Linked DNA regions of Canis lupus familiaris. The protein of the gene in region 2 interacts with the protein of the main gene of each other region in a pairwise test. Links are inferred from orthologs where the notes say so. Each region holds a gene or a part of one and is shown on either strand. Other genes may lie near its edges. The genes, in order: EXOSC5 and PEG10.

The links.
Region 1: the proteins of PEG10 (region 2) and EXOSC5 interact in binary tests that used the Homo sapiens proteins (3 or more experiments, as listed by UniProt). The link is inferred for Canis lupus familiaris from reciprocal best matches to the Homo sapiens genes PEG10 and EXOSC5.

The regions. Positions count from the first base shown.
Region 1 is NC_049222.1:113,383,089-113,387,448, reverse strand, and holds the start of EXOSC5 (exosome complex component RRP46), read right to left. Parts: upstream 2,938-4,360; 5' UTR 2,847-2,937; coding exon 2,699-2,846; intron 1-2,698. Other genes in the region: BCKDHA (2-oxoisovalerate dehydrogenase subunit alpha, mitochondrial), read left to right, coding at 3,337-3,444. UniProt on the Homo sapiens protein: Non-catalytic component of the RNA exosome complex which has 3'->5' exoribonuclease activity and participates in a multitude of cellular RNA processing and degradation events.
Region 2 is NC_049235.1:20,084,068-20,087,880, reverse strand, and holds part of PEG10 (retrotransposon-derived protein PEG10), read right to left. Parts: intron 438-3,813; 5' UTR 317-437; coding exon 1-316.

The DNA.
Region 1 (4,360 bases), on a different chromosome or scaffold from region 2:
GTCCTCTCTGGGTTTTCCTCCCACCTTATTGGCTGCTTTTCTCTGGTCTTTTCCTAGCTCCTCACAGGTTAGACAACCCTGGATTTAGTCTGTGACCTCTTCTCTTTCCACCTACACTTGTTCTCTTTATTTCATCCAATCAATAGTGTGAAACACCATCTATAGCCAGAGAATTCCAAATTATATATTTAGGTTGAGTCTCTCTCTTTTTAAGATTTTATTTACTTATTTGACACAGAGAGAGAGAGAGAGAGCGCGCACAAGGGGGGAGCAGCAGGCAGAGGGAGAGGGAGAAGCAGGCTCCCCACTGAGCAGGGAGCCTGATGCTGGGTGGGATCCTAGACCCTGAGATCATGACCTGAGCTGAAGGCAGATGCTTAACTGACTGAGCCACCCAGGCGCCCCTGGGTCTCTCCTCCCAAATGCAGACTTCTATATCCTATTGCCCTGTCCATATAGTCACTGTGATGTCCACCAGGCACTGCAAACTTAATGTTCCAAATTGAACTCCTTATCTCCCAGTACAGCTGATTTGGAAAAAAAATCTTGGTGTTATCCCTCTCCTTCTCACACTCCAACACTGAACCATCTGCAAGTTTTGTGTTTTACTTTCAACATACATACACCCAGAATCTCACCACCTCCACTGCTTCCACTCTGGTCTGAGCCACCGCATCTCCCCTTCTTTCTCATATCTATACAGTCAACACTGCAGCAGAGAGATTCTGTTAAAATATATCCAGATCATGTCAACCCTCTGAGCAAAACTTGGAAGCAGTGGCCCCCAGCTCATTCATTATGCATCACATGACAAGCAATCCTCCTTAGCTCTCCCCAGCCTCCTCACTGCTCTGGCCACACAGTCTACAGACTATTCCTCAAACACACCAGACAAATCCTTGCCTCAGGGCCTCTGCCCCTGCAGTTCTTCATCCTAGGTATGCTTTTCCTCCTGCTTATCTTCAAGGTTTGCTCCCTTACCTTTAGGTCTTTATTCAAATGTTACCATCTCATCAAGGCCTTTCCTGACTATCCGGTTAAGATCGCAACCCTCTCTGGCACACCCTATTTCCTTTCCCTACTATAATTTTTCTCCATAGGCATCTTCCGACATATTTTTTTTTAAAGATTTTATTTATTTATTCATGAGAGACACAGAGAGAGAGAGAGAGAGAGACAGAGACACAGGCAGAGGGAGAAGCAGGCTCCATGCAGGGAGCCCGATGAGGGACCTGATCCTTGGTCTTGAGGATCACGCCCTGGGCTGAAGGCGGCGCTAAATCGCTGAGCCACCCAGGCTGCCCTCCTACATATTTTTTTTTTAAAGATTTATTTATTTATTTATTTATTCATGATAGACAGAGAGAGAGAGAGAGAGAGAGAGGCAGAGACACAGGCAGAGGGAGAAGCAGGCTCCATGTGAGAGCCTGACGCGGGACTCGATCCCGGGACTCCAAGATTGCACCCTGGGCCAAAGGCAGGCGCCAAACCACCGAACCACCCAGGGATCCCCTTCCTACATATTTTACTTATCTTTTGTCTGTCTCCTCGACTAGAACATAAACTGTTAAGTCAGGGATTTAAAAAAAAATTTTTTTTAAGATTTATTTATTTATTCATGAAAGACAGAGAGAGAGACAGAGAGAGAGAGAGAGAGGCAGACAGAGAAGCAGGCTCCATGCAGGGAGCCGGAGGCAGGAGCCAAACCGTGGAGCCACCCAGGCATCCCTTTAAAATGTATTTTATTGGGATCCCTGGGTGGCGCAGTGGTTTGGCACCTGCCTTTGGCCCAGGGCGCGATCCTGGAGACCCGGGATCGAATCCCACGTCTGGCTCCCAGTGCATGGAGCCTGCTTCTCCCTCTGCCTGTGTCTCTGCCTCTCTCTCTCTCTCTCTGTGTGACTATCATAAATAAGTAAAAATTAATATAAAATAAAATAAAATGTATTTTATCCACGTATTCCCAGGACCCAGGACAGTGCTTAATGCGAATACACGTGTTCAATGAAGGAATGAATGAAAACAGGTTTTGTACCTGGGTAGAAGGTAATGCCCCTAGTGAGGAGGCTGAAGCATTTATGGGGGTGATTCTTAGGCTATCTTCAGAGGAATATTCACCCGGGGCAGGGAGCTGAGATGCATTTGGTCACGGGAAGGAGATATTTTACCCAATAGGGAAAGCCTGCCCCAAACCTAGGGATATTTACACGTATGGAGAGATGTGTATTGCTGTCAAAGGGATATATACCGCACAATCACTCTCAAATACTCTGAAAAGTATTTACCTGGACAAAAAGACATGCCCGCAGTCCAGAGAGTAATGAAGCCGGTAGTGTTGATTTGCGGGTCTATTTACGCGCAAGGGCAGGTTTGCCGCAGCCTGGCGTGCATGGACCCGGGGTGTCCGCGGGGGAGGCGGGAGACGAATTTAATCAAGGGAGATATTTACTCTGCTGAGCGCCTCTCTCCTCGGAGTATTTACCACGGTGGCGATACCGTCTCCCTTCTAGCCGGGAGCGCAGGATACGTTACTCCGGCATATCCGGGAGTATCCTCCCGGGCAAGAACTGCACCACCCGTGCAGGAGGGACACTTACCAGCTAGTGGCACTCCTCTGCACGGTAACCTGTAACCTTCCGAAACAAATACAACGTGGCGAACGTGGCACAGGCAGTATTTGCCTAGGGTAAGTCCTTACCTTGCAGGAAAGAGGCAGAGCCATCCGGCCGGGACAGCAGGTTCTGCTCACAAGCAAAGTGCCGGAGGCTGCAGCCCGGGCCCCGAGGGCCGGACTCTGTTCCAGACTCCGCGCAGGTCTTGGCGTCCGCCGGCAGCGCCCCCTCCATCGCCCCAGACCCCACGTGCCGCTGCGGAACCTCGCTTCCGCACGGGAGCGCGCGCGGGCGTCCAGCCTGCGTGCCCAGTGCGCACGCGCAGGTCCGGGGCGCCAGGACCCGTTCCCGCACGTGGCTCCGCGTTTACTAACAATCTGGCCCCTCCCACTCCCGCCTCGCAAGCCCATTGGAGAGTAGCGAAGAGAGGGCGGGCCTTGGCATGGACTCGTCCTACCCGAAGCCCCCGCGCCCTAAAGCCCTAAGGCTCTGGTCAGGTTGTCCTCTCCTTTGCCTGTTACAGAAACAACTAAGATGAGGTGATGAGAGTAATTTTGGCAAGCTAGATTGTTTGTTCCTCCCGTACCCGTGCCCTGGAGACTGCAGGGTGGGTCGCTGGTGGTTTCTTGGCAGGGCGGTGCTAGCATTTGAGTCAGGCTCCTGAAGGGGCAGCCCCCAGTCTAGCCGAGGAGAGGGGCGGAGCTCTGAGGGGTTGTGAGCCAAGATGGCGGTGGCGGCGGCGGCAGCGAGGGTCTGGGGCTCGAGTCGAGGTTTGGGCCAGGCTGGTCTCCTGCTCCTGCGCCGGCCTTGGGCTCGGGGGCTGGCTAGATCTGTGAGTACCTGGGGAGTTTTTCCCGAGGGAGAATAGGGATGTCAACGCCGTCTTCCGACGTGGGGTTCGTGCAGGGAGTGAGCGAAGGGCTGTCACAGAGGGGACCGGGGCTGAGAGAGCTGCTCCGTGAGGACATTCGGGAAGAACTTCCACTCCCTCAGGAGAGGAGAAGTGAGGCAGCCTCCTCTGTGGGCCCGGAGAGAGGGAGACAACTTGGAGAGAGAGAAGGGGTTCCGCTTTAGTTGCCACTCATGCCCACGGGAGGCCGCGTGGAGGGACACGGTGGGACGGCGAGACATTGCCCCGCAGGCGTTGGAGACTGCGACTGCCCGAGGCTGAGGCTTCCGGGTGTGGCTCCCCCTCAGGAAGGAGAAAAGAGAGATCAGCTTCTCCGACGCGGGCTTTTATAGTGCGCTGCGTTTGTTTTACTATTGTTCTTTTTTTTTTTTTTTTTTTTTTTGAGATTTTATTTATTCATGAGACCCAGAGAGAGGCTGAGGGAGAAGCAGGCTCCCTGCAGGGAGCCTGATGGGGGACTCGATCCCAGGACCCCAGGATCAGGACCTGGGCGGAAGGCAGACGCTCAACCACTGAGCCACCTGGTCATCCCACCCACATTTCTGGGTAACACTTGAGAGATGCCTCAATTCTTATCAAAAGTGTCAGAATTCCCTTGGGTTGATGCTGCAAACTGTAAGTTCACACAGCGGAAGTCTAACTTAGAAGCTCGTTCAGTGGGAGAGAGGCCTTGGGCTGCGGAACCATGAACTGAAATTTCCCAGGTCAGAGAGTAGTGTTTGGGAAGGCGGGTTCCTGTCCCCCACATGCTGGACAGAGGACTGCCCCTCCGGACCTCAACAGAGGGGCGCGTTCCCCTTTCTATAATGCTAACTGACCACCTCGTAGGGTTGTGGTA
Region 2 (3,813 bases):
GCTCCAGGTCGTCCTCCTCGTCCTGAGGGGCGGGCTCCACTTGCTCGCGCAGGGAGGTGTTCTCCTCTGTGAGCTTCTGCACCTGGTTCTGCAGGTTGTTGTTCTCCTCGGACTGCTTCATGACCTTCTCTCGGAGGTTGTTGATCTCTTCAGAGAGATCGTCTCGCCTTCGTTCGGCCAGGTTGGGGATGTACTGGCCCCTTGGGGCGCTGCGTGAGGATGAAGAAGAGGAAGAGGAGGAGGAGCAGGAGGAAGAGGAGGAGGAGGGGCCGTTGGGGGGAGGAGGAGGAGGAGGAGGTGGGCAGTCGGGCCCCAGGGTGAGGGTTGGCGTGGGAGGAGACCTCCCAGGTGTAGCTTCGCTCCTGTGGGGATGGAGGCCCTGATCCTGGCCTCCTCTTCCACCCTTTCTTCGTTTTGTTTTCAAAAGCTTTTTGTTTCTGTAAAGGAAGATAAAAGCAGAAGTTTATCATCCACGTTCAAAGCAGCACACTACAAAAAAGATTTTAGCATCTAAAGTAGCCACTAAAGTACCTTAAATACGTGAGTATTTAAAGTAGCCATTAAAATACTTTAAATACATGAGTATTTAAAGTATCCACTAAAATACTTTAAATACATGAGTATTTAAAGTATCTCTTTGCTCTACTTGCTTACATTAATATTTAATAAACAAACACAGATCTTGCAAAAGGGAGAAACAAGTTAATAATCAATTAAGACAATAGGTAGTAACAAAAAGCACCCTACTTTTTAACGTCCAAATGACCTTTTTCCTCATCAAATGTCACCTATTATGATTCAACAACAATGCATACCGGTATCAACAGCAAGTTTACCTTCACTGACCGTAAAAGAATGCGGAGACATTCCAAAATACCAGTTTGGATCAGGAGGGCACAGCAAGAAACTTTCAAGTCAAAGATGGAGACCAAATTAAAAACACAAAGCCAAAATGATAATTGTTATTAGACGGGTTACCTGAAAAAGAGCTAATAATCCAGCCAATAGGGAACCAAAAAGAAGGGTGGGGGATTTAAATCACACTGCCTGTATTCATCAGCCGGGGGAGGGAAGAGGGCACTACCTCCATGGTGAAGGTCACTAACTGATTATCAAAACAAACAACAACAACAACAACAACGGTCACGAAACCCACAAGATTGTCTAAATCCAACATAATCTGATTTCCCAGAGAGAATTCCCTTCGGGACAGAAGTGGCACCGAGCAGCAACGTTGTGTATCAGCCTCTCTCCTTATTATGCAGTTCATCAACAAATGTTAATTGATGCCTCCTAGGAAGAGCTAGGCTATTAAATGGGACAGTCAAAAAAGCCCAAAAAGAGAATACCTCAAATTTACAGTATGGATTTAATTAGGTAATGCAGGTAAAGCAGTGAATACTTAACAACTGTTAGCTGATATTAATAAGAAAGGTAACTTTCTGTGTAAAGAGGCTAAGATTAAAACAGGGAGGGCCTGCAACTATGGCAACCTAGGCAGGCATTTCCCACCTAAAGACATTACTTTTTTTGGGGGGGGGGGGAGGGGGGAATACGCTGTTGGCCAAACAAATCCAGGGCCTCATTTGATTTGCAGGTCACCAGTTTCCAACTTCTGGTTTTTAAACAAGATTTGTCAGCACAGTCCCACCCAAAAGTTTATAATTTAGAGCAGGATAGGGCTGTACTCCTAGGTGGTGAGTAGCAACATGGGGGGCATTGGGGGTTTGGGGGATTAAGGTCTTAATTATGGGTATGGTGACAATAAATCACACATACAATAAATCCAGCAGTGTTTATGTACTTCCTAAAATGAGGGTTAAATGCATTTATAGTAACTTAATTTTAACTTTTTATAATTTTTAAATGAGCATTAAGTTCTCATATTTGGAAAACTTTAGGAAAGCGCTCAAAAGTTTAAAACCATAATTTGTAAAAGCAGGCAGACTGCCCATTCACTAAATTTTAACTTGGCATTCCTGGTCACCTGTTCTTCTCTGACCCATCAAGGCAATAATGGACACTAAATTAATTATATTAATTAAAGCCCACAAAGATAAATGTGTTATTCAAAGAAGTTATGTGAAAAATAGCTAATATTTCAATCAATAGGGTACAAGAAAAAAAAATGAGGCCCTGGATTAGTCACAAAATAGTGTGATTTTGATTTATTAAATTAAAATCTTTATTTTTTTAAATTAAAAGCTTTAATGTCCCATTAAAAAACAATAAACACAAGTCAGGTGACTCAAGTGCCACTTCTGTATCTAGACATTAATACTTAGAAAACTTAGAAAACTTCTGGAAAGGCCTTCATAGCTCGGCCTGGCGTTGCCTGACCCAGGTCAGGAAGGTTAACAACCCACATGTCAATCACAGTCATTGGGGGGAGCTTTACTGAGGTTCCAGTCTCATGGTTTTAATATCTGCAAAACATAATAATAGGACAGATATAACAACACATTCAGAAATCAGCAAACAATCATTGTATATTGTTTAAGGAATCAAAAGATCAATAAGGGCTTAAAATGCAAATGATTTTAGTAGACAGGAAGGTAACATAAAAGTGAGAAGAAACTGGAGTTAAGACAATAAGGAGTGGGCTGGTGACTATGTAATTTAGGGATGCATGTCCCCTCCCCAGAAACATTCAATTCTTTAAAATATTTTTAATCCAGTGCTGGTCAAATAAATTAAGGGCCTTATTTGACTTGCAAGGTCACCAGTGTGAGACCCCTGACCTTTACCAAGATCAGGCATCAGGTACCCACCCCTGGGATTTTTAATTTTGGTGTGGGATTCTAAATCCTAAAGGAGATAACTGCCCAGAGAAGAGTAGTGTAACCTTTAAAAAACATAGGATAGTCGGCAGGCAGGTTAACATTCAATGTAAATAAAGCTTAAAGATATTTAAATAGCAACTAGAGCACCAGTTAATTTGGGAACAGGAGCACTGTGACTTGATTTGCACCTCCCACCCCTTACTAGGGGCTGGATTGTGGAGGTCAGGCCCAAAGGCCCCATTCCTAAAACCTGAAATGACACACAGTACTGAGCCAAGTCACATGGGATAGATGTCACCTTTACACATGAAAAAGAATCCAGTGTTAGTCTATATAGGAATTAAATACATTTGATTGACCTTTGACTCTTCTTGAAGACTTCTAAAAACTTGTTCCCCAAACACACCAAAAAGTAACAGTAGCCAAAAAACACTGCACATTAAACATCTCATTAGAAAATGACACTTCATTAAGCAACTCTTAATTGCTTTATATTTTCAAATGTCCCAATTTCTTTTTTAGTACCATGTATACTATTTGTGAAATGCAAATTATATTAATATGCATATTTTTACCATTGTTTTGAACTTTAAAAAAAACATAGAATTTCGAAAGGAAGTGGGGGTAGGGTGACGGGGGGGGGGGGGGGGGGGGGGGGCTGGGGATTAACTGAAAGCTGTAATTACCACAAGTATAAATACATAAAGATATGTAAATTGCATATTTATTAGGGGGTGGGTGACAGATATTTGGGAGTCAGAGTCCTGGCTTATGGCTTACAATATATGAAACCAGGTTTTAAAATTTCTTCATTTTATTAGAAACATAAACATGGTACATCTGACTGGAGGTAAGGCATCAGATGTTTTATGTGTATGTTTTATAATGCCAGCTAAAACCCTCCAATCTATTTTTTAATGTAACCACTTTATGTTACATTATACAAAATGTAAATATGACAATTATGTACCATTGTGAAGTAGTCCACTCACCCTGAATTTAAATAGCCAATTAGCTTGTTTTTACTTTT